Linked DNA regions of Macaca mulatta. The main gene of each other region encodes a partner of the protein of the gene in region 2 in a complex. Links are inferred from orthologs where the notes say so. Each region holds a gene or a part of one and is shown on either strand. Other genes may lie near its edges. The genes, in order: CDCA2, PPP1CA, WDR82, PHACTR1, TOX4, MRAS and PPP1R7.

What was found.
Region 1: the proteins of PPP1CA (region 2) and CDCA2 are in contact, whole or in part, in a crystal structure (PDB 5IOH), measured with the Homo sapiens proteins. The link is inferred for Macaca mulatta from reciprocal best matches to the Homo sapiens genes PPP1CA and CDCA2. Residues at the interface, in NP_002699.1 of Homo sapiens: Gln20, Gly21, Ser22, Pro24, Tyr70, Asp71, Leu73, Arg74, Glu77, Tyr78, Asp166, Lys168, Ile169, Asp242, Leu243, Tyr255, Phe257, Arg261, Pro270, Ser284, Glu287, Thr288, Leu289, Met290, Cys291, Ser292, Phe293, Gln294, Ile295, Leu296; in NP_689775.2 of Homo sapiens: Lys391, Arg392, Val393, Thr394, Phe395, Gly396, Asp398, Leu399, Ser400, Pro401, Glu402, Val403, Phe404, Asp405, Glu406, Ser407, Leu408, Pro409, Ala410, Asn411, Leu414, Gly417, Gly418, Thr419, Pro420, Val421, Lys423.
Region 3: PPP1CA (region 2) and WDR82 share a complex: the UniProt entries of both Homo sapiens proteins name them as parts of the PNUTS-PP1 phosphatase complex. The link is inferred for Macaca mulatta from reciprocal best matches to the Homo sapiens genes PPP1CA and WDR82.
Region 4: the proteins of PPP1CA (region 2) and PHACTR1 are in contact, whole or in part, in a crystal structure (PDB 6ZEG), measured with the Homo sapiens proteins. The link is inferred for Macaca mulatta from reciprocal best matches to the Homo sapiens genes PPP1CA and PHACTR1. Residues at the interface, in NP_002699.1 of Homo sapiens: Pro24, Arg43, Gln68, Tyr70, Asp71, Arg74, Tyr78, Arg96, Gly97, Lys98, Ala128, Ser129, Arg132, Ile133, Tyr134, Gly135, Tyr137, Asp138, Trp149, Lys150, Thr153, Asp154, Asn157, Lys168, Ile169, Met190, Arg191, Pro192, Thr193, Asp194; in NP_001309240.1 of Homo sapiens: Arg424, Lys425, Ile426, Leu427, Ile428, Arg429, Phe430, Ser431, Asp432, Tyr433, Val434, Glu435, Val436, Ala437, Asp438, Ala439, Gln440, Tyr442, Asp443, Arg444, Arg445, Ala446, Lys448, Pro449, Trp450, Leu453, Lys458, Ile461, Arg462, Glu464.
Region 5: PPP1CA (region 2) and TOX4 share a complex: the UniProt entries of both Homo sapiens proteins name them as parts of the PNUTS-PP1 phosphatase complex. The link is inferred for Macaca mulatta from reciprocal best matches to the Homo sapiens genes PPP1CA and TOX4.
Region 6: the proteins of PPP1CA (region 2) and MRAS are in contact, whole or in part, in a crystal structure (PDB 7TXH), measured with the Homo sapiens proteins. The link is inferred for Macaca mulatta from reciprocal best matches to the Homo sapiens genes PPP1CA and MRAS. Residues at the interface, in NP_002699.1 of Homo sapiens: Pro178, Asp179, Gln181, Gln185, Arg188, Ile189, Met190, Pro192, Thr193, Pro196, Asp197, Gln198, Trp216, Gly217, Glu218, Phe225; in NP_001078518.1 of Homo sapiens: Val6, Pro7, Ile31, Gln35, Lys36, Ile37, Val39, Asp48, Ser49, Tyr50, Leu51, Lys52, His53.
Region 7: the proteins of PPP1CA (region 2) and PPP1R7 are in contact, whole or in part, in a crystal structure (PDB 8U5G), measured with the Homo sapiens proteins. The link is inferred for Macaca mulatta from reciprocal best matches to the Homo sapiens genes PPP1CA and PPP1R7. Residues at the interface, in NP_002699.1 of Homo sapiens: Arg23, Pro24, Leu40, Arg43, Arg96, Gly97, Lys98, Ala128, Ser129, Ile130, Asn131, Arg132, Ile133, Tyr134, Gly135, Tyr137, Asp138, Lys141, Arg142, Ile146, Lys147, Trp149, Lys150, Asp154, Asn157, Pro192, Thr193, Asp194, Asn271, Cys273; in NP_002703.1 of Homo sapiens: Asn84, His85, Tyr86, Arg87, Arg106, Gln107, Leu109, Tyr128, Asp129, Gln131, Asp148, Ser150, Phe151, Phe170, Val172, Glu192, Gly194, Ser195, Phe214, Gly216, Lys217, Ser236, Gln238, Ser239, Tyr258, His261, Ser283, Glu300, Trp302, Asn304.

Annotation. Positions count from the first base shown.
Region 1 is NC_133413.1:27,250,485-27,253,496, reverse strand, and holds part of CDCA2 (cell division cycle-associated protein 2), read right to left. Parts: intron 2,014-3,012; coding exon 1,842-2,013; intron 1-1,841. UniProt on the Homo sapiens protein: Regulator of chromosome structure during mitosis required for condensin-depleted chromosomes to retain their compact architecture through anaphase.
Region 2 is NC_133419.1:6,982,069-6,986,170, reverse strand, and holds the start of PPP1CA (serine/threonine-protein phosphatase PP1-alpha catalytic subunit), read right to left. Parts: upstream 2,801-4,102; 5' UTR 2,725-2,800; coding exon 2,670-2,724; intron 2,144-2,669; coding exon 2,012-2,143; intron 1,863-2,011; coding exon 1,632-1,862; intron 605-1,631; coding exon 500-604; intron 156-499; coding exon 1-155. UniProt on the Homo sapiens protein: Protein phosphatase that associates with over 200 regulatory proteins to form highly specific holoenzymes which dephosphorylate hundreds of biological targets.
Region 3 is NC_133407.1:115,789,816-115,792,848, forward strand, and holds part of WDR82 (WD repeat-containing protein 82), read right to left. Parts: intron 2,396-3,033; coding exon 2,296-2,395; intron 1,424-2,295; coding exon 1,307-1,423; intron 743-1,306; coding exon 587-742; intron 134-586; coding exon 64-133; intron 1-63. UniProt on the Homo sapiens protein: Regulatory component of the SET1/COMPASS complex implicated in the tethering of this complex to transcriptional start sites of active genes.
Region 4 is NC_133409.1:169,832,778-169,835,750, reverse strand, and holds part of PHACTR1 (phosphatase and actin regulator 1), read left to right. Parts: intron 1-1,545; coding exon 1,546-1,686; intron 1,687-2,973. UniProt on the Homo sapiens protein: Binds actin monomers (G actin) and plays a role in multiple processes including the regulation of actin cytoskeleton dynamics, actin stress fibers formation, cell motility and survival, formation of tubules by endothelial cells, and regulation of PPP1CA activity.
Region 5 is NC_133412.1:94,349,340-94,352,839, forward strand, and holds part of TOX4 (TOX high mobility group box family member 4), read left to right. Parts: intron 1-1,363; coding exon 1,364-1,606; intron 1,607-2,495; coding exon 2,496-2,756; intron 2,757-3,071; coding exon 3,072-3,302; intron 3,303-3,500. UniProt on the Homo sapiens protein: Transcription factor that modulates cell fate reprogramming from the somatic state to the pluripotent and neuronal fate. In liver, controls the expression of hormone-regulated gluconeogenic genes such as G6PC1 and PCK1.
Region 6 is NC_133407.1:41,398,178-41,401,677, reverse strand, and holds part of MRAS (ras-related protein M-Ras), read right to left. Parts: intron 3,253-3,500; coding exon 3,153-3,252; coding exon of another isoform or gene 3,149-3,152; intron 1,186-3,148; coding exon 1,106-1,185; intron 1-1,105. UniProt on the Homo sapiens protein: Signal transducer in the Ras-MAPK signaling pathway that regulates cell proliferation and survival. Core component of the SHOC2-MRAS-PP1c (SMP) holophosphatase complex that regulates the MAPK pathway activation.
Region 7 is NC_133417.1:146,428,249-146,431,748, reverse strand, and holds part of PPP1R7 (protein phosphatase 1 regulatory subunit 7), read right to left. Parts: intron 2,696-3,500; coding exon 2,640-2,695; intron 2,003-2,639; coding exon 1,937-2,002; intron 1,272-1,936; coding exon 1,141-1,271; intron 147-1,140; coding exon 1-146. UniProt on the Homo sapiens protein: Regulatory subunit of protein phosphatase 1.

The DNA.
Region 1 (3,012 bases), on a different chromosome or scaffold from region 2:
GCGTTGTGGCACGTGCTTGTAGTCCCAGTTACCTGGGAGGCTGAGGCAGGAGAATTGCTGGAATCCAGGAGGTGGAGGTTGCAGTGAGCCAACACTGAGCCACTGCACTCCAGCCTGGGCGACAGAGTGAGACTCCATCTCAAAAAACAAACAAACAAACTAACTAACTAACAAACAAAAAGATATATATTTCGCATAAAATCCAACATACTAGAGAAGGAAGGTAAAGGAGATATAGGGAGATAGGAAAGGAGAAAGAGATAAAGGAAGGAAGGAGCTGAATTGCTTTAAATCCATGTAGCAGGTGATACCACTGGTTACAGATAAAAAATGCTTTAGGTATTTTTAAAAATAAAGTCTCTAATAGGATGCAAGATGGAAAATTTTACTACAATCACTGTTTAAAAATCTTTTGAAAAACTCCTGTTAGAACCAGAGATGTAATGAAAATAAGACTTAGTTTCCACTCTCAAGGAGACTGAAGTTTTAGGGAACAGGGGAACACAGAAAATAGATAATCATAAAACCAGGTGATAGAAGTATGTTGCAGAGTATTCCTGGAAAAACAGACAGTACAGCAAAATCTTGGAAGATAAGCAACATTAGGTCAGATTAAAAAGAGGTAGAGTGGTGGATGCCCTGTCGCAACACAGCCTGTGAGAAAGCATGGCAGGAGAAGAGTGTGTGCCAGGACATGTGCGACAGAGGGGTGGCTGTTTATTTAAACTCCTGTGCTACCCTAATGTTAAGCAGGACGCAGAAGCCAAGAGTCTATGGTGGCATGTACCTCATTCATCCTCAAGTCTATTATTAATCTTGTATGGTATTCTGCAAATAGGAGGCAGGCTACAAATATCTGATGATTGACAAAGGTAGTCATTTAAAAAATGATTCTATACAAATCAACACACCAAGTGGACACACATTATCATTTTCAGGCAAGACAGCGTGGCTCGTGTCTGTAATCTCAGTACTTTCGGAGGCTGAGGCAGGAAGACTGATTGAGCCCAGGAGTTCAAGACCAGCCTGGGCAACACAGGGACACCCTATCTCTACTAAAAATTAAAAAAAAAAAAAAAAAAAATCCTTATTATTTTCATCAAGATCCAGTACGTTTAAAATTTGGGCATTAGAAACCAGAAACAATTCCATTTTTTATCTACCCCATATATCAACTGACTTGATAATAAAATAACTTTCAAGGTAATCAAGCGCAACTTATATGTATTATTTTTAGAAAACGCTCAGTAGTGCCAACTCTAACAAAACATCCTTAACTCATATAAGGTATACATATTACTGAACCATAACCTCGTTCACATTTTTTGTTCCTTTTTTTTTAAAGACAGGGTCTTGCTAGGTTGCCCAGGCTGGCCTCAAACTCCTGAGCTCAAGCAATCCTTCCGCCTTAGGCTCTCAAATGGTTGGGATCACAGGCAGGTGCCCCAGCTCTCGTTCACTGCATCCAGCTCTCGTTCACTTTCAACGATGGACTACACCACCAAATGGAATTTATTTTCACAAAATGCTTTAAAAAGCAAAAGGAAATAGGATGCACAGAAATTATTACTGATATTATAAGCAAAATCTTGTGTCTTGGTTTTCCTGGGGAAAGGATCCAGAGTTTCCATCAGATTCTGAAAAGGGTCTAAGCCACCTACAAGTTAAAAGTGACTCTCTTTCCTCCACTAGAAATGCTCATGGTAATGTAAGGAAACGTTGCTTTTTAAATTTACGTACTCTTTACATAGTGAATGGGAAAAAAGTGAAAAAAGTAAAATAGCAACGAAGAAGGTGACGAGAAAAGATAAAATATAACTACCAGGAAAAGGTGAGGATACCTGAACCCAGTCTTCGGATGCTTGGAACTGAAGGTGTCATCTCAGAGACTTCAGGCAGCTCAGGAATAGGACTGAGGAGGGGCTTCTTAGAAGCAATGTCTCTTTCCCCATATAAAGATTTCTGAACACTTTTCTTTCCCTTTCCTTTCTTCTTTCTGCAACTTTTTAAAACCTGAGAAAATGCATTAAAACATTGCAATTGAGAAAGATGTAGCACCACGTAAAACTTTGACCCTTTAACTAGTTATTATTATTATTATTTTTTCAGACAAGGCCTGGATGAGAATCCAGGCTGGAGTGCAGTGGCACAATCTCGGCTCACTGCAACTTCTGCCCCCCTGCTCAATCAATCCTCCCATCAGCCTCCCAAGTAGCTGGGACCACAGGTGCACACCACCACGACCGGCTTTTTATTTTGTATTTTTGGTAGAGATGGGGTCTCACCATGTTGCCCAGGCTTGCCTCAAATTCCTGAGCTCAAGCGATCCTCTTGCCTTGGCCTCCCAAAGTGCTGGGATTACAAGTGTGAGCCATAATGCCCAGCCTGACCCTTCAACTTCTATAATATCTCTAATTATTGTTTATACAGTGCTTTATTGAATAGATCACTTTTATATTTCGTTTAAAATTGTAAGCATCTAAAACGAGGGTAGGAAGTCATGTAACTTCCACAAAGTCAAATAAACTACAAAGCAGGATTCGGTTTATAAATTGTATGGTAGCTTTCTACATTTCCACAAGGCACTTGCCAAAACAAGGGCTGGATAAATGAAAAATTATATGAGATGCTTTAGAACTAACTACATGAATGTAACGTCATAAGATATTTGTAAGCAGCACACAGTTATGATGACTCAGGATTAACCTAGTGTGAGTTACATACTGCAAGCTATGGGAGACTGCTTTATGCTCCTAGGTCTGGATGAAGAAACAGTAGGTGTGTATGTAAAATATGAAGAAAACACAAAGCTAGCTGAATCTGCAGATTCAAACAACAGATGATTTAATCAAGATTCAGTCAAAACAAAATGGATTTTAACAAGCACAAGCAGAAGATGGAAGACAAAGGTCTGACATTAATTGATGGAAAATGTAGGTTTCCATAAAAATTAAAAGTCACTTAATATATCCAGAATGGAGTATTACATTCAATTCTCAGTGCCATATCAGT
Region 2 (4,102 bases):
GGTAAAAGAGACGCCACGGTCGTTCTCGCCCCAGCCCTGCACGTCCTTGTCAGGGTCAGACCACAGCAGGTCACACAGCAGGCCCTGGTCAGGCACGTCTGTGGGCCGCATGATCCGCCGAATCTGCTCCATGGACTGCAGGTCCGGGGAGAGGCCTGGAGGGCCAGAAGGAAGGTCACTTCCTCAAACAAGGACATCCTTCCTCCAGGAAGCCTTGGCCAGTGAGCCTCACCTTTTCCACCACCCTCCTGGTCCCTCCACTGGTCTCCTGGGTGCCTAGGCAGGCAGAAGCCATCCCCTTCCCCTCAGCTTTTTCAAGTTCCCAAACAGGCACAAAGGCGCCCCTGGCCTCCGGAGCACAGAGCTCCTGGGAGAAAGGAGACAAGCCCGCCCCATGTAGGATGCACATCAAGGAAGTGAGTGCAGCCCAGCACAGGGGGGTATGGGAGACACTTCCTGAAAGGAGTGACTTCCCAGATGACAACTAAGGAGAGCTCACCTCCGTGGCAGCAAAAGATCTTTTCGTCCACTATGGCCGCAATGGGCAGGCAGTTGAAGCAGTCAGTGAACGTTTTCCACAGTTTGATGTTGTAGCGTCTCTTGCCTGCCCAGAGGGAGGTAGCTGTGAGGGGTCTGCCTGCTCCACCCTTAGCCGGGGTCTCTGGGCTATTCAGCCGCAGATGGGAGAGAGTCAGGCACCAATGCAAACCACCCCCACCCCTGCCGCCTGTCAGCCTTCCAGGAGTAATTCTAGTTACTTTTTATTTTAATTTGTAATTTAAACAAACAGGATCTGGGCAGGGCATGGTGGCTCACACCTGTAATCCCAGCACTTTGGGAGGCTGAAGCAGGCAGATCACCTGAGGTCAGAAGTTCAAGACCAGCCTGACCAACATGGAGAAACCCTGTCTCTACTAAAATACAAAAAAATTAGCCAGGCGTGGTGTCGCATGCCTGTAATCCCAGCTACTCGGGAGGCTGAGGCAGGAGAATCGCTTGAACCCGGGAGATGGAGGTTGTAGTGAACTGAGATCACACCACTGCACTCCAGCCTGGGCAACAAGAGCGAAACTCCGTCTCAAAAAAGTAAAGAAACAGGGTCTTGTTCAGTCACCCAGGCTGGAGTGCAGTGGCAAGATCATAGCTCACTGTAACTTGGAGCTTCTGAGTCCAAGTGATCTTCCCGCCTCAGCCTCCCACCAGAAGTAATTCTAAAGCACCCGAGTCCACTGGAAACTGAGTTCCAATCTGGACCAGCCTCAGGGTTGGCACTCCTTGCACGCCCCGGCCCACGAGCCGGGCCAAGTACAGGTCTGGTTTATCTCAGCTTCTGGACAGCAGAGCTCATCTGCAAACATCCTAAATGCTTAGTAGCAAATGTAGAGGGAACGTCACCAGGCAGGGCCCTGGGGGAAAGCACTAGAATACGGACAGTCCTTCAGTCAGCAACCATTCCCCAGACCCCATGCCAGGAGGGGCAGGGCAGGCACAAGAACGGACCTGGGCCCTGCCTTCGTGGAGTGCACAGTCTAGCAAGTGTCTGTCAGATATCAGGCCAATGTGAAGGTCCCACTGAATGACAAGGAGTGTGGTTCAGGACCCGGGCAGCCCCAGACGCTCAGACCACTCACACTCATCGTAGAAACCGTAGATGCGGTTGATGCTGGCGCACTCGTGGTTCCCACGGAGCAGGAAGAAGTTCTCGGGGTACTTGATCTTATAGGCCAGCAGCAGGCAGATGGTCTCCAAGGACTGCTTGCCCCTGTCCACATAGTCCCCCAGAAAGAGGTAGTTGCTCTCCGGAGGGAAACCGCCATACTCAAATAGTCGCAGAAGGTCATAGTACTGGCCGTGTATATCACCTGTGACCCAGGGAATCGGGTAAGCTAGATGCAGGGTCTAGACCTGAACCCAGGACCAGGACTGGGCTCAAGGGAGGAGGACTCCAGGAACTCTGTGGGGGCCAGTGCCACTTTCAGGAAAGCAAGGGGACCTGGGTCGGGGGGCTCACCGCAGATCTTGAGGGGTGCCTCCAGCTCCAGAAGAATGGGCTGGCTCAGGAAAATCTCCCGGGATTTCAGGCACAGGCCGCGGATCTCGTTCTCTGTCAGCTGTACATTCTTGCCAGGCCGCGAGCCCTGCACTGGGGGCGCAATGGGGTGTCAAGACCCGGGACCCTGACAGGTGGAGGGTGGGCGACACGGGTGGCCCCATGGATACCTCCGGGGGCGCCTAGGCCTCCTCGGCCGCTCCTTGCCCGCAGGCAGCTGTTGCTGCTGAGCCTCCCGGGACCTCGGCCTCAAGCCTCCCAAGGGAAGCCCCCAACTACCCTCAGCGCCTCGGGAGGCGACTGTCGTGCGCAGGGGGCTGCCACCCAAACACCTCACAGCGCAGGACCCCTTCCTGGACCGGGCTTCCCGGGTTTCTCCCTCGCCTCAAGAACCCAGGCAACCCGTGCGCCCCCGGCCCGGGAGAGGGGGCTGCTCCGCGCGTCGGAGCGGGCCCAGGACCTCTCAGGCGCGTCCGCGGGGGGGCGGCTGCGGCCACCGAACCTCGCGGCCCGTCCCCGCCCAGTCTAAGCTGGCCCCGGGGGCCCGCCCGCGCGCCACTTCCGGGCCCGGCAGGGGGCCCGGGAGCGGCGGACGCAGGCCTCCCCCGCCGCGACCAACCTTCTAGCAGGCGCCCGATGATCGAGTCAAGGTTGAGCTTCTCGCTATCGGACATGGCGGCGCCGCCGCTCCAGCCCAGCAGCTCCGGGCCCGCTCCTGCCTCCCGCCCTCCGGCAGCCTCCTTCCGGCCTGGCTCTCCTTCCGCCCGCCCCAGTCCGCCCCCGGCCCGCGGCCCCGCCTCCGGGCCTCCCGGGCCCGCCCCGCCCGGTCCCCCGCGCTCTAGCGCCCCCGCTGGACGTGAAGCGCCGCGGCCTGGGGGGCGGGGCCTTGGCGGCGGGGTCTGTCGGGGGCGCGTCCAACTGGTTACGCCCCAGAGGAGGCGCCCAGCCCGGTTCAGAGGATGTGGGGCCGGAAGAACTGTGGAAGTTGTTTTTCTCTTTCAAAAGCAGAACAGCCGTTCCCACCCCTGCCCTGGGTGGAGGGTGTTGTGAATATATTAATAACCGGCTGCTAGGCACTGAGGGTTAACTGCTCGAAGTGCAGGAAAGGAAACTGAGGCTCAAGAGATATGAACAGACTGGTGCAAGACCTGGACCTCGCATTCACGTACGACCCCCTTTTTCGTGGGTCTCCGTGGCCCCCAGGCGGCTGACCACACTCAAAGACAGCTACGGCTGAACTTCCAGCGCACTTTGGTCCTTGGGGCATGATAAATTAATATTTTCTTACAAGTCCCATAATTAGCTTTTATTTATTTATTTTTTTTGAGACAGAGTTTTGCTCTGTCGCCTAAGCTGGAGTGCAGTGGCGCGACTTTGGCTCACTGCAACATTCGCTTCCCAGGTTCAAGGGGTTCTCCTGCCTCAGCCTCTGGAGTAGCTGGGATTGCAGGCGCGCGCCACTGCGCCTGGTTTTTGTGTGTTTAGCAGAGGTGGGGTTTCGCCATATTGGCCCGGCTGGTCTTGAACTCCTAACCTCAAGTGATCCACTGGCCTCGACCTCCCAAAGTCCTGGGGGGGTTACAGGCGTGAGCCAACAAGCCTGGCCCCATAATTAGCTTTTGAGTAGCACAGTAATATTGCAGGGTGTGCACGTAAAAAGAATTACTATATGAGCAGACATGGCTGGGTGCAGTGGCTCACGCCTGTAATTCCAGCGCTTTGGGAGGCTGAGGTGGGAGGATCGTTTGAGGTCAGGAGTTCAAGACCAGCCTGGCCAACATGGTGAAACCCCATCTCTCTAAAAATACAAAAAGTTAGCTGGGCATGATGGCAGCCGCCTGTAATCTCAGCTATTGGGGAGGCTGAGGCAGGAGAATCACTTGAACCTGGGAGGCGGAGGTTGCAGTGGGCCAAGGCCCATTGCACCCCCTAGCCGAGGTGACAGTGTGAGACTCTGTCTCAAAGGAGCAGACGATAAATTAACCTTAATTCTTGTTGGAACCCTGAGTTGGGTGCTTTACATGCCAGTAACCTCAGAACTGGAGGTGGGCC
Region 3 (3,033 bases), on a different chromosome or scaffold from region 2:
ATTTAAACAAAAAAATGCATAGTACCAGAGAAATAACCCCCACAGGGGATAAAGGAAACTCACCAATCATAATAAACTGAGAGTCTGGAGTAAATGAAGCCTCCAGTGTGACAGCTTTGCTATTGGCATAACCCTAAAACAAAACAGAGCAGTTCTTTTGTTGTTACAGAGCCGTTAATAAAAACAGCTGCCTACAAACACTAACTTAGCACATGCATCACCTTCCTTTCCATGAAACCCTTTCCTTGTCATGTACTACACCACCAAGCTTCCAAATGTGGTTGCCATCCTTGACAATCCACTCCCACCTTCAACTCTGTATTCAAGGTACACTCAAGGGAGCAAGAAAACTTTATTTTTAGGACATTATTTTATATCTAAATACCAAACTTGGGTCACTTGGTGAGAAATGAATGTCTACAGAATCCAAGGGAGGTAAGTTCAATGAGCAGGAAGAAAAAATACAAGTGCATGCCTTCATGAGTAAGTCAAGAGTAACTGTTGGTCTCCACCAACCAGCTAACATAATTCTTAGCATAGGAAGTATAAGCATGGAAACAGCCATGCTTGAAGGCCATCAGCTCACCCCAAACGTGTGCATCACCACTCCTTTGAATGCATCAATGAGACGAATGAAGCTGCCGTTGGTGGAAATGAGGATGAGCTTGCCATCATTGCTGAATTTAAGTCCTGTCCACTCACAAGTTCGATCATATTGCATCTTAAAGGTAGCAAATGGCCCCTGCAAAAGATAAAAAATAGTAGCCCCAGGCCCAAGGCATATTAACAATTTCTTCTGCTAGAGCCAATTCCCATCCTATTCCTTTAGATTCCTTTTTGACTAAGGAAAGCAGAGAATGAGCTACTTCTCTGCCACTCTCTAATATCTACCATATTTTTCTTTTTGTAGAAAATGCTCTTACAGGGCCAGGCGTGGTGGCTCGCGCCTGTAATCCCAGCACTTTGGGAGGCTGAGGTGGGTGGATCACCAGAGGTGAGGAGTTTGAGAGCAGCCTGACCAACATGGTGAAACCCCGTCTCTACTAAATACAAAAAATTAGCCAGGCGTGGTGGCGGGCTTGTGTAATCCCAACTACTTGGGAGGCTGAGGTAGGAGAATCACTTGAACCTGGGAGGCAGAGGCTGCAGTGAGCTGAGATTGCACCACTGCACTCCAGCTTGGACAACAAAAGCAAAATTCTTGTCTCAAAAAAAAAAAAAAAAAAAAAAAAAAAAAAAAAAAAAAAAGCAGTTACATGTCTATTTCACCATAATATTAAGATAGCTCAAAGATTCAAAGATTTACCTTGTCAAAAGAACGAAGGTCATAAAGTTTGACCATTTCAGAGTTGACACCTGCAGCGAAAATTAACCCTTCTGGATCAAAAGAACAAACTGGCTTCCCCTGCAGATGCATGAGGCCCTAAAAGAAAAGAAATAAGAAATACACTAAAACACACATACCACAACCACACCTGGAACAACCAAAGACTGCTAGTACAATGGGGAAAAAAATGAATCCAGGACCCTACCACTATATAATTTACTTGTCCCAATTAAAACTAAGAAAGGCATACAAACAGATATCAGTCTACCTACAGAACAGAAAAAGCAAACATAAAACTAAAATGAAGCTTTTAAAAAACAGGTCTCCAGATAATTTCTGATCAACTCTAACTGCACAATATTACAGACACAGAATTCAAATAAAAATAAATCCCTTGAAGCTAAAAGCTCTAGGAACACTTTTAAAACATTAAGCTGGCTGGGCACAGTGGCTCACACCTACAATTCCAGAACTTTGGGAGGCCAAGGTGGGCGGATCACCTGAGGTCGGGAGACCACCCTGACCAACATGGAGAAACCCCGTCTCTACTAAAAATACAAAATTAGCCGGACATGGTGATGCATGCCTGTAATCCCAGCTACTTGGGAGGTTGAGGCAGAAGAATCGCTTGAACCCTGGAGGTGGAGGTTGCGGTGAGCCGAGATCGCACCATTGCACTCCAGCCTGGGCAACAACAGCAAAACCCGGTCTCAAAACGAAAACCAAAACAAAAACAAAACAAAACAACAAAAACCCCACAACAAGCCACAGAGTACAATGCAATCTGCACTAGATTAGGGTATTTGCTTAGCAGCTACCAACTAAGAAAACAGATTTTCTCCAAAATTTAAAAAGACCCTGGGATCCCAGAATGGAACCACTGTTTTCTCCCTTCTTTGAGAGGTAGAGTTCATTATAGGGCCTACCATAGAAAATGCTCAAAAAGCGTAACTGTGAGGTACCATTACCTGGCAGTTAGGAGACCGGAGATCCCAGAGTCGAATGGTCTTATCTAGAGACCCAGAAATGAAAGTGTCATCCACAGGTGACATGGACAAGGCCACCACCCTGCAATACATCGAGATAAATAGGAGTTGATGCGAAATATTAGCAAAAATTGGATGTGAATTCTAAACCACTCTGCCTATATATATGTATCTGTTCTCCTGAAATTGCCATTTTAAGAAGCACACTAAAACACACATACCACAACCATATCTGGAACAAAGACAACTAGTATAATGCAAAAAAAAAAAAATAATAATAAAGCTACAAAATAAAAATATATGATTCCAATGCAAATCAAAACCACAATGAGATACTACTCCACACCCTCCAGCATAGCTATAAAAAGAGAGACAACAAGTATTGGTGAGGACATAGAGAAATTGGAACCTTCATACATTGCTAATGAAAATGTAAAAATGGTACAGTTGCTCTGGAAAAGTTTTTCCAAAAAAACAAGAGTTACCATGTGACCCAGAAATTCCACTCCTAGGTATTTACCCAAGATAACTGAAAATACATGTCCACACAAAAATGTACACATATGTTCAGAGCTGCATTATTCATAATAGCCAAAAAGTAGAAATAACCCAAATGTCCATTAACTAATGGATGGACAAACAAATGTGCTATATCTATACACTGGAATATTATTTGGCAATAAAAAGTAATAAAGTACTGCCTCGTGCAACAACATGGAG
Region 4 (2,973 bases), on a different chromosome or scaffold from region 2:
AGGCAGGGGGGACGGCACCAGAGGCGGCTGAGCCCCTGATCCCCAGAGATTCCTGCCTTTGGCTGAGAGGGAGCTGCAGGCCTGCCTTGGCCCTGTCCGGGATCTGTCACCACTCTATTTGATACCTGCCAGCCATCTATTTGATACCTGCCAGCCATCCTCTAATTGTGCTCTGCCAGCATGGGAGCAAGTTGGAACATTCTCGCACCAGCCAAGGGTGTCTGGAAGCTGCCTGTTGCAGAGTTGAAACTGCCAGGGTAGTTTGGACTCCACTGTGTTTGTTTTATGGGCCTGAGTTGCAAGATTCTATGAGACAGTGTCTTCTAATAATAGAATTACACAGCGTTTAGGGCTTGGAGGGAAAATTGCTTTTAAGTAGCACTGGTTGAACATCAGTTGACAGCATCTTAAAGACAGCAATTGTGTTGCTCCAGGAGAAATAAACCTAGTGACAGGAAGAGATAATAGAAATGTCAGCCTTGTGTTGCTAAAGTAGAGGAAGGGGTCCTTATGGCTAATATCGGGAGATGGCAAAATACATATGAATCTTCCTTTTACTTGCCTCATCTCTCATTCCTGCAGTCCTTCATCAGGGACCATCCAAAGGGCTGGTCCTGAGTCACCTTTGGCATAAATGTGGCCTTTTTCTGTACTTACTCAGCTCCGCATTTGTTGACTGACCTTCCCCTTGAACTTCTTGCAGAGGGCTGTCACCAACGTTTGGGCTGACCTCTTCAGCCAGCAGATTCCCATCCCACATACCCCGAGTTTGCATACCATTTTCACATACGCTTTTTTGCATCTAAAATACACACAAAATGTATTGCAAACCCATCTTGCAGAAGGCATTCAATGTGACACACAGATGTGGACTTGCAAATCCAAAATAAGACAGAATCATTGTAGAATATCCCTGTCACCTGGCGGGAGTAGGACAGATAAGAAGAAATCCACAACAGGAGCCCACAGCCAAACAGAAAGACAAGCTTCTAGTAACGACTGGGACTCAGCAATGTCATGAAGATAGAGACTGTTTACTATCGATTTGTATAGGTGTAAACACAGTATTGTGAATATGCTTTAGTCCTGATCTTTTTATATTCTATACTGAAATATGCACAGGTAAAATGATATGATGCCTGCAATTTGTTTCAAAGAAATCCACATGTGAATGTAGTCAAGAGTCGATCATTGTTGGTGATAGTACACCAAATTTATGATATTAGTCTCCTTCCTTCTTTTGAAAATTTACATAATAAAAGTTTTTTTTTAAGTTGAAAAAAAAAAAAGATAGAGGTTGGCCTAGAGGGTATGTAAGGGATAACAAAGCTCTCTCTTAGGACTGAGAAAGGGCCCGGTCCCAAGAGTCAGGAGACTTGGGTCCCCCTACCCCGGCCCTCCCCCTGCCCCTGCCCCTCACTCACTATGCAACGCATCCATTGCCTCACTGAACCTTATTTTCCACACCTGCAAGTTCACAGACAGGACCGAGTGCCATGGTCAACCCGTCTGGCTGACTGGGTCTGTCTCTCTCCCTCCCTGCAGCTCAGTCAAAGGCCCACCGTGGAAGAGCTTCGGGAAAGAAAGATCCTCATCCGCTTCAGTGACTACGTGGAGGTGGCTGACGCTCAGGACTATGACCGCAGGGCAGATAAGCCGTGGACCCGCCTCACTGCTGCAGACAAAGTAAGCAGAGGGGAGTGCTGGAGAGTGGGAGGCAAGATCATCTGCTGGGTGTCCCGCCGGGCTCACCGCTGGGGAGTGTGTAGGGAGACCCGCATCCAGGCCTCAGCTGCAGTTCCCGTAATGGAGTGTTGGGACCCCAACACCTTTCCCCAGGGGCCACAGATAATCTGCAGAAAGGCTGCTGAATCGAAGAAAACACAAGGCACATAATACTGTGCCCGTTTTACAGGAGGAGGAGCAGCAGCCTAGGAGGCTGTGCCCAGAGAACGAGAATAGCACTGGATAGGCGTAGACAGGTGAAGGCACGAGGCTCTGGGCTCATCACAGTCCTTCCGTGTAGGGGACACTGCTGCCGGCATCCAACGGGGGATTCACCAAACCAAAAGAAAAGACAAAGTGGACACGTAACCTCAGGAGAGAAATAGGCACAAATCAAAGAGACGTCGCAAAACATATCTCACTGCACTAGACCCTCGCCGATTCAGAAAACAAAAAGAATAATCTGAAGTTCAGTTTGTTTTTTAGGAAAAGCAGTGATGCCAATGAGAAATCATTTTCTCTGTCCACTAGACGAGGCATCAGAATGAACCTCTGTTTGGTAATCCTCTCTGATTCTAGTCTGGTCACCATGAGGAGCTGGAGGGTTAAGGGCCTTTTGTAAAATGTAGTCTGTGCGCCGGGCGCGGTGGCTCACGCCTGTAATCCCAGCACTTTGGGAGGCTGAGGCGGGTAAATCACTTGAGGTCAGGAGTTCAAGACCAGCCTGACCAACATGATGAAACCCCATCTCTGTTAAAAATACAAAATTAGCCGGGCGTGATGGCACGCACCTGTAATCCCAGCTGCTCGGGAGGCTGAGGCAGGAGAATTGCTTGAACCCAGGAGGCGGAGGTTGCAGGGAGCCAAGATCGCACCACTGCACTCCAGCCTGGATGACAAGAGTGAAACTCCATCTCAAAAACAAACAAACAAACATATATATAAATTTATTATATATATAACAAATATGTATATTTGTTAAATATATTTATAAATATATATATTTATTATATATAATATATATAGAGAGAGAGAGTCTGGAATAATGATTCAGCCTAATGTGTAGGTGACGATAGAAGTCAACAGTCTCAACAGTCCTGCCTTCACTCTGTCCGTTTCAGGGACCTGGGGTTTTCTTATATGATTCAGCAGGAAGTCATCTACGGCCCAGGCTGGCTACATTATCACCAACCCTGGATCCAGGAGTTGCAGGAAACATGGATGCAGGCACATTGCCGCACTCGGGTG
Region 5 (3,500 bases), on a different chromosome or scaffold from region 2:
ATGGTTATTAAGCCATTATATGTATCAGGCAATGTGCTAAGCTTTTATGCATGAAATCTCACTTATCCTAATAATAACCATATAAGGGGATTACCATTGTAATTCCCATTTTACAGATGAAGAAAACTTGTTCAAGGTCTTGTACCCAGGTCTCTCTGATAGCAGTCTCTTGCTATTATTTATAATTGTCTATTGTTGCAAATGCCACCATTTAGATTTCAGTGTCAAAACAGAACCATAGCACTTAACATATCTTAGATCATATCTTGGTCTGTTAGCTGCATGAGTGGTGGCCTCATTCAGAAGAGAAAGAATGTATTATTATTGACCTAGTTGGACTCACAGGAAGAGATTGGGTCTTTAGCCAGCTGGAGTAATCCTTTTCCTCTCTTAGAGAGAAGCTTGTTCAGCAAGACTAGCATTTTTGGCATTGTTGAGGTTTTCTGAAAATCGTATACAAATGGGAATCTTGGTCGGGCGCAGTGGCTCACGCCTGTAATCCTAGCACTTTGGGAGGCCAGGGTGGGTGGATCACGAGGTCAGGAGATCGAGACCATCCTGGCTAGCACGGTGAAACTCCGTCTCTACTAAAAATACAAAAAAATTAGCCGGGCGTGGTGGTGGGCGCCTGTAGTCCCAGCTACATTGGAAGCTGAGGCTGGAGAATGGCCTGAACCCGGGAGGCGGAGCTTTCAGTGAGTGGAGATCGAGCCACTGCATTCCAGCGTGGGCGACAGAGCGAGACTCTGTCTCAAAAAAAAACAAAAAAAACAAATGGGAATTTTTAGTTGTTAACATTATAATTTCTAAAGTGGAGAAGAAGTAGGAAACTCTAAGTGCAAATATTTTAGAGGGGGATAAAGTTTCCATGACAGTACATTTTAGCATCTGTTTGAAAGGAACCTAAAACAACAAAGTACAATTGGCTGGCTGACAGCAAATTTCTGTGGCCTAACAGTTTAGTTGTAATAATTGTGAAATAACTGCTCTATTAGAATCTTTAGAGAGATTTCAAGGATCATAGTAAGCAGGTTATAAAGGCTGTATTCTAAGTAATGGTACTGGAAGAATTTTTCATTAGAACAATAGGCATAATTTAGGACAAAAGAGTGGTAATGGTAGAAAAGAGATAAAAGAATTGAAAATTGTGACTGATGTTAGCAGCCTTGAATGCACCAAGTGACCAAGGGTATCAGAAGAGAGATTGGTAAAAATAATAGGTTCTAAGAAATTGATTATAAAATAGGATCCTAAGCAGAAAAAATGTACCCTGAGAATCTCTAGTACCCCATTATGTTCTTCACTTAGTAGTATGCCATTTCTCCTCTTTTCGCTAATTCTTTTCCCCCTTTTTTCCCTACAGACATTCCATACACCAAGCTTGGGAGATGAGGAATTTGAAATCCCACCTATCTCCTTGGATTCTGATCCCTCATTGGCTGTCTCAGATGTGGTTGGCCACTTTGATGACCTGGCAGACCCTTCCTCTTCACAGGATGGCAGTTTTTCAGCCCAGTATGGGGTCCAGACATTGGACATGCCTGTGGGCATGACCCATGGCTTGATGGAGCAGGGCGGGGGGCTCCTGAGTGGGGGCTTGACCATGGTAAGGGGCAAGAGATTGTCAGGCTTACCCCAGCTAACAGGCATGGCATTAGGGGAGACAAAAGTTACTGTATTCCCTACTACACTTGGGTATTACTTGTGTGTCTTCTTGTGGCTAAAGGCTCACCAACAAAGACTTAGTTTCACCTGAATAAATGAAATTTACCATGTAGGTAGATTTTACTTGAAAAATAATTTAAAATTGTACAATGTCTGGTTAGAAAATTATTGTGGTTTTTGGGAAAGTGTTTTCTGCTTTTATTATGACCTTCACATCCTAGGATTCAAATTTGAATGTGATAGCTGGCACGTGGAGGGATTTATTAAAAAATGGTCTGAATCATGTTGAGAAGCCAGCAGATCAGAGCTTTTTTTTAAAAAAAAGGTCTGAGTCAAATATAGTATTGTAGATTACTATGTAATATAAATCAGTATGTTGGGCTTCTGGCACATGAAACCAGTAGCACATCTTCACACTCTATATTTGATGCCAAACTTCTGTAATATTGGCCTATTTATGCTGACTGCCTGTGTATTATTTTAAAAGCTATTATTTTGGGAGGGTACAGACAGGAAGTTTTTCTTTACTCAATGTGTTGTCCCTACTTATAGATTACTGAGTAAGTTGATAGCTCTTTAACTTCTCCAACAGTATGACTTCTCTGATTATTTTTAGTTCTTCTTTAGAGTGCAAAGAAGTAAATTCATTAATTTCTGTACTTTTTAAAAAAGCTTATGTTTTTATTTTCAGTTTTGAAGACTATTTTATGTTTTGTATTTTAAATGATACAATCTGGGTAGGCAGGGAATTTATAAGCTATCTTAAATTTAGGGGGGAAAGTGGTGTTTTTTTATATTTACTGTTTAATTAGTCCTTCTGCTTCTCTCAGGACTTGGACCACTCTATAGGAACTCAGTATAGTGCCAACCCACCTGTTACAATTGATGTACCAATGACAGACATGACATCTGGCTTGATGGGGCATAGCCAGTTGACCACCATTGATCAGTCAGAACTGAGTTCCCAACTGGGTTTGAGCTTAGGGGGTGGCACCATCCTACCACCTGCCCAGTCACCTGAAGATCGTCTTTCAACCACGCCTTCACCTACTAGTTCACTTCATGAGGATGGTGTTGAGGATTTCCGGAGGGTGAGGCATTCCCTGCCAAAATCAATTCTGCTGTGATATTCTAGGATAAAATTCTTGGGATACAGAGCTTAATCAGTATTCTTTAGCCTTACCATGCCATCTCCTCTGCTCTTTTCTGGGTATGGGGTTCCACCTACCAATTTCCAGTTTATAATTCTCTCAATCCCTATTCTTATTGGTTCTCCATACTTGACCAGTGTCTTTTAACGCTATTTCCATGATTTTTAGCATTTCTGAAAATTCCATACATGTGGCTAGTTTCCAGACATAATACTTGTCATCATCCATTGTGTAATTCTTTTTCTCTCTTAACAGCAACTTCCCAGCCAGAAGACAGTGGTGGTGGAAGCAGGGAAAAAGCAGAAGGCCCCAAAGAAGAGAAAAAAGAAAGATCCTAATGAACCTCAGAAACCAGTTTCGGCATATGCTTTATTCTTTCGTGATACACAGGCTGCCATCAAGGGACAGAATCCTAATGCCACTTTTGGTGAGGTTTCAAAAATTGTGGCCTCCATGTGGGATAGTCTTGGAGAGGAGCAAAAACAGGTGAGCAAATGTTAAGGAACTAGTAGTGAATGTTCCAAAAGTTTTTAAAGAGATAAAAATAGAGGTTTTCGGCTGGGCGCGGTGGCTCAAGCCTGTAATCCCAGCACTTTGGGAGGCCGAGACGGGCGGATCATGAGGTCAGGAGATCGAGACCATCCTGGCTAACACGGTGAAACCCCGTCTCTACTAAAATATACA
Region 6 (3,500 bases), on a different chromosome or scaffold from region 2:
TTCACAACCAAGACATCACCATAGGCTACCTGATGGCAGCACGTCCTAATTGGAGGCAAAATGCCTAAGATAAAATAGTTTCTTTCCTTTTGTAAAGATGGCACTTCACTATGTTGCCCAGGCTGGTCTTGAACTCCTAGCCTCAAGCAATCCTCTTTCCTCCACCTCCACCTTTGCCTCTGAGTGCTGGGATTACAGAAATGAGCCACCACACCTGGATGAGAAAATCATTTTGAGAGTGCAAAACTGCCAGCCAGAACATAAAGTGAAGACTGTAATATTTCCTCATTATGCTGGGGAATAATGAGAAGATGAGCTTTTTAAGCATGTTGGGGGATGTGTGTATAGTGGGGGTTACAGCCCCGGGGCTGATCTCACAGCTCACCAGCAGCCCTTGGAGGCGCCAGCATACAGGCCACAAACTCAACGCACAGTGTCTGAGACCCACTGGTTAGGCTGCTGTGCATGTTGAAGAGTTGGGAAATGCGATAGATTGGTGACAGGAGATGCAGCCAGGAGGCTGTTTTAGTCATGAGTGCATGAGGTGATTAAGATCTGGACCCTGACCATGCAAAGGAATGTACAAGAAACTTTCATTAGGATTGCTGACAATACTTGGAGATTGACAGCTGATGGGGTCAGGAAAGGAGATACGTGTGCAATGCCTCTGAAATTTGAACCTTGGAATCAGAATATTGGTTGTTCAGGGGAAATATCAAAGGGTGCTCTGATATCAGGACATGGAAGAGGAGAGAGACCTAGTTTGTACGGTGTTGAAAGCTTTGGCGTGAGGAGAACACTGAAGCCAGGCTGCAGGGAGCTGCCTTCCAGGGAGCCTGAGCCGCTGCCTCAGACAGGAAGGCATTTCCACTTAGCACGTGCAGCAGACTTCACCCACAAACCCGTCAGCAGCTGTGGGGAGGGCAGAGGTGGGTGGAAAGAGCAAAAGAAAGAAACGGAAGGAGGGACAAGAAATCCAAACATAGGCCCAGAATTCTACAGTCTCATGGCCTCAGAAGAGGAGCTGCTTCCTCAAGCTCCCAGCTGCCTCCAGGAGCCAACCCATGCTGTGGAGGCCCGCTTCTAGGGAGGGGGCAGTGCTCACCTAATTACTCTCACGAGGTCATGGAAGGCTTTGTCGACATTGAGAGGTGGGTCCTTGGCACTGGTTTCTATGTACGGAATCTGGAAGGCAAAGCTCAACTTGGTCAAAGTGGCACAGAGATCCTCAAAGCCCCGTTCCACCCTTAAAAATGCTCAGAGGTTCTGAGGAACCCAGGTGCTTTCAAAACACGCCACAGAAGCCCCAGCCCCCAACAGCCTCAGGCATCACTTGGGGCTTCTCACTCTTTCAGGTTGGAAAGTGTTACTAATGGCTTTTCCAATTCCCTCTTGTTCTCTAGGCACAGAGATACTTAATAGCTCCCTAAAAATAGAATAAAGTGATCTTTTTACATACTTGAAGATGAAAAACTGTTTCATTTATTAAACTAAAATACATTCTGATTCTACCCATTTTTCTTTCTGAGGTCTGTTTCTCCACCTTGGGATGACTTCTGCCCCTCTTTCTGGGCCCCTCCAGAGTGGACACTGGTAGAAAAGGCTGAGGAGAGACTGGGCCATGACCAAGACTCTGGGCCCAGGTGACCCTGGCCCATCTGTGCTGGCCCCCACCCCGGCCCAGCTCTTGTTTGGTCTGTATCTATGAGCCTAGGAGCTCAGCCATGTTTACACAAGGTTTTTGTCTGCACGTTCAATGCTGAGAAATCATCACCCGGCCGAAAAGGTGCAGACAGCGGGAGATGTGACCATGGTGGCCCCACAGAGCAGGTTTCCAGGGCCAGATCTGCACCAAGCCTCGGGCTGGCAGAGGGAGGAGAACAAAGACTCTATGAGGTCAGCACACACTCACTCCTGAGCGCTCACCTTCTCCTACAGCAGGGACCCCGCCAAGGCAGGAAGTGTTCGTTCCCCAAAGGCGGGGAGCAGGGTGGGGAACACACAGGCCTCGCTTGATGAGACAGATGGAAGTAAACTGAGTGTGATTAGACTGAATAACTTGGTGATTTTTCATAAGTTTTTTCTGATTACAAAATTAATGCCTTTCATTATAATATGCTGGAAAAAGAAAAGCACAGTGGGGAAAAGAAAAATAACACTTCAAATGCATGGAGGAGGGTGACAGGGTAAGCTGTTGTTCTAGAGGAGTAGATTGTAAATCACTGCCCAGAACACAAACCAGTCAGTATCTTCCCATCCATCATCATCACGTGAGGTCAGATGTGCACACTTCTGCTGTAGCCAACAGACACACAAAGGGCAGAGCACAAAAGGCAGAGCTTAAGCCTTTGAAATATTCATTGGACAAATATTTGAGCCTCTGATAACACTAAATGGAAACTGCTCTTCATTGTGGGCTGTTTGGCTTTCCAGGTCTCACTATCCCTGACCTCATTTAGTCTTCACATTAACCCTCTGAGGTAAGCAAGTATCTCCATTCTGCAGCTCAGGAGACTGAGCTCAGAGTGACGCACTTGCTCAAGGTCAACAGCAGCCGGCAGAGCATCAGGGTTTGAACCGGGCACACTTTCCACTTTCTCCTGGCCCTGGTAAGAGGTGCTGAGGTCTGCTTTGGAGCCTCTTCCGGCTGGACACCAAATCCAGCCATGGCAAGTGCCCCTGATAAGTGGCCAGTACAGTCCTACGGGGCCCTTGTGAGTCAGGACAACGTGCTTCCCCGCACACACCCAGGGGAGGCAGGAAGGCACTGCAACTTGAGCTGGGACCTACCTGGAGCCCCTTCACATCCTGTACTCCTGCCGGCTCAGTAATGGCCCAGGCTCCAGGGCCTCAGACCACTGCCACCTGTGGTCCCACCCCATCGCTCAGAAGTCCCTGAGTTGTATGATCCCCCCCAGGTCCCAGACACCTTCTACTTTCTTTCTAGGGGATCTGCCTCTACCACTGAAGAAACACTGATGTGCATTACCTGGATTCCTGGAATTGCAGGATTTCAGCAGCAACAAGACTTAAACTAAGGGGAGCCCTTCAATAAACAATAGTTTCATTCCCAAAGACCAGGACTGCAGGGGTGACCAGGCAACAGCTTTTACACATCTCCTGACCCCCTCTACACACACGCACACACCTACATTGTGTTTGGTCGCCATTTCTTTTCCTTGCTCCCTGGTGATTTTCCTTAAGTGCATCAAATCGACCTTGTTGGCCACGAGGATCATCGGGAATGACTCCCTGGGAAACAAAGGAATAGCAGCTCTGTAAGGTTTCCACCACCCCTCACACCTAGTTAAGGTGGCGCAGCCACATCTCAGGCATAGCACAGTCAGCCTACAGCACCTCCCCAGTCAGCCTGGACTGCAGTCCCTTCCCTCCTCCTTTCCAGAGAGAGGTTAGGGTTAGGGGAAAGGGCCTGGGGGCTGCTGGCTGTCTTGGCTTGAAGCCTCAGGTCCACTGCAAGGCCAATGGTGAGGCCTCGAGGG
Region 7 (3,500 bases), on a different chromosome or scaffold from region 2:
CCAGCTCTAGCATCTGTAGTTGATGTAAGTTGCTTAAGTTCTCAATTTTACTGATTTTATTGTTGACCAAGAAGAGTTTTTTCAGTCGTGTCAACTTGTCAACCCCTTCGATGTTTCTCAGCAGATTAAAAGAAATATCTAGAATCCTGAGAACAACCAAAACAGGTTTTTAAAAAAATTACATGAGCATAGGTTGCAGAGAACTCACAATTCAACCACCCTAAAGGTAGCACCCCATTAGGGGACTGCAGTCACTGTGGGACGGGGCAGGGTGGGGTGGGGTGGGGCAGGGGGTGCGGTCTGTGCCCCTGCTGCCGCCTGGCTCACACTGATGCTGTCATGAGGGATTTGGAGGCTGCCCAGGAGCCCGGAGCAAGCCAGAGGCAGCCTACAGGCTCCTGATGCCCTGGCTCCCAGGATGGTATTTGAGGCAGAAACTGTTACATTCACACCTGTGCCCATGACAGGACCTTGCACCAGGCTCTGCACACAGAAGGGGCCTGAGAAGTACCGAATTAGAAACAAAACAAGCAAAAATGAATGAGCAACAGAGGGCAGAAATCCAGGTAAAGTTATAACTAGGACCTGGCTCCTTCTTTTTTAATTTTAATTTTTGTAGACAGGGTCTTGTTATGTTGCCCAGGCTATCTCAAACTTCTGGGCTAGTGATCCTCCTAATTTGATCTCCCAAAGCGCTGACATTACAGGTATGCACCACTGCACCTGGCGTAGAACCTGACTCCTTAAATTATAAATGTCACTTTTTTTTTTTTTTAATTTAAAAAAAGAGTATTCAAAAGGCAAGAGGAAATTCTGGATTAACTTTCCCCTCGACCAATCTCAGTATCATCCCTGAATGGAGGCTTTTCCAGAAGTCCCCACTGCAGCCTTCCCATCAAAGGTTTACTTTGCAAGTCAGGATTGTCCAGGAAGCCGAAGACATGCGTGAAGCCAACGTGGCCTCCTGGAGCCCTGAACATGGCAGGCAGAGCCTTGGGATTCAGACGCAGGGCAGGACCCTGTGGCAGAGGCAGCCTCTCAAGGGCCAAGAGCCAGCAGGAGGGGGGCTCTGGAGAGACTGGACACCCCCACCCAGTGGCCTCCCCACCATGCTGTTCTCCTGTGGGTCTCATGACTCACTCCAGCTCTGTTAGCGCCTCCAGATTCTCAATCTTCTTGATCTGGTTGTCGTAAAGATCCAGCTCTCGAAGACTCTGTAGCTCCTCCAGATTCTCAATGCATTTAATTAAATTTTGGCGGAGGCAGAGAGTCTGGGGGATGGGAAAAGGACAATTGACACCGGCACGGGGGAGGCCACGAGAAGGCCTCAGCTGGTACTGGAGGACACAGGACAGGCCCTTCTGGTGGAAGGACGTGTCTTCATTCTCCTGCTGTTTCCTAGAAAGGTGCTGACCTTTGAGAGGTAGGTGGGCAAGGGCACCAAGCTAGAATTCCTCGACACACCTGAGGATGGGCAGGAACCCAAAAGGAAGCAGGAGGCAGGCCCCCCACCAAGCAGGCCTAGTTGAGGAGGGAGGCGTTGGCCTGGGGTATGGGTGTTTGCCACTTCCTGGCAGAACATAAGAACCTATGGTGGGCTCAATTTTGAGAAACAAATTCAGATGAGATGCACGGAGGACCATAAAATTCACTGAGTGCCTAATTGAACACAGGCACAGAACTGAGGCAGGCCAGAGTCACAGGTCACTGGCCGCCTGAGCTCAGGAGAGCCAGCCCCAGGGCTGTGCCTCAAGTCCCTCGACTGCTGTCTCACACTTGCTGTGCTCCCAGTAAAGGCCTGCTACAAGGTGGAGGCAGCCATGCCTCCCACAGGCTGAGACAAAGACCACAACTTGGGACTGATGGCTCGATTCTGGACTTATCCACATCCTATGGGTGATATGGGTCATAGTCCCCTCATAAGAGTCCCTCTCACCTTCACTTTCTTCAGTACCTCAAATCCTTCAATCTTCCCAATGCGACAGTGATTCAAATCAACATCCTGAAACAAAGCGGAAATGTATACTCGGCTATAGCAAAGTGGCTGGAGACCTGTGTCCTAGAAGAGGAGCCATCAGAGGAGGCCTAGGAGTGGGCAGCAGTGGGGGAGGCAGTGCCAGGTGGGTCTGCAGCAGACAGGTGTCGGTGACAAGGTGTGCTGCGGGGGCTCTTTGGTTTAGTGATGACTTAGTTTTATGTAAAACTGGCCCTTAAAATGATTGGTACATGACATCTTTTTCTCATTCCCTAGACCCTGTATGCACAAAACATAAGCTCAGGCTCTTAGGATATGCACCCCATCCCATCACCATCAGAGACACGCTGGGGGCTCAGGAGGCCCAGTGGCCAGGCCAGTCATACACAGCCTGCGGCTGTTGGGACCCTCATGTATAATGTAATCATCAGACCCAGAGAATGTATGAGTCAAAGGCATCTCATCTGCCACACAATCCTCAAGGGTCAAATAGACATGGGGATAACAATCACTGGTAAGAAAAACAACATGAACACAGGACTCTGATCCAACCAAGGGAGGCTCAGGCAACCTCTTTAGGGAAGTAACTTACTAATCTCATACAAGATAACCTGACAGGTGGTCCATCACCATGCTCAAGGCTGGGCTGAGCAGGCAGCATTACCTCTGCATCTCTGTCCAGGTTGATGGTTTCCATGTCCACAGGCAGCTCATGTTCTTCTGAAAAAAATTAGAAAAAGAGGTTTGTTCAGAACCCCATTAACAGGAGGCATTGGTGAAGAGCTGCTTCTGGCCGAGGTCTAGGGCTGTTTGGTGCCCAGATCCAGCTCAAACCCTGAGGAGGAACCAATGAGAAAGTTTGCTGAGGACCTGGAGAATGTGGCAAGGGTGAACCCTGCTCCAACAATAGTGATGTTTTAAGCATTCTGATTTCCCTGAATTCAGATATTGGCAAAGGTCTCCAAACATTCATCTGTGCCTTTGAACTTCCAGAGAAGGGAAATGTGTTTTGAAGCTGTTAGTGGGAAGGAGGGGAGGAAGTAGCTGAGTGCAGGTGAGCAGGGCAGCACTACTGCCTTTCCGTGACTCCCAGAGCCGCAGAACTGGCAGCAGCCTGCCTCCTACGTAGCTTTTCTCTGTTTGTTTGTGGCAATAAACCAGGCCATTAGAATCTAGATCGTGCTGGGCACATCAGATGCTCTAGGATGGGCCTTTTATCACTTTGGAAGGTGGCCCAGCATCTACAAACACTTCCCTCTGCAAAGAGCAAAACAAAACAAAACATAGTTCAACAGATAGGATCAAAGAGGCTCACTGAATAATTTAAACACACTTCTCAATGGGGAGACTGATGAACTCACTCCAGCAGAGAAGCCCATTGGATTTCACGAGGACTCTCCACACCGGAGCCAGCCTCCTCTGTGCGGAGGCAGAGAGAGCTGCTCTCCCTGCTGAGGCGACAGACTCCCTGTTAAGCACTTCCTCATTTCATTTCATTGGAACCTACTTCAGCATATGTGCTGAA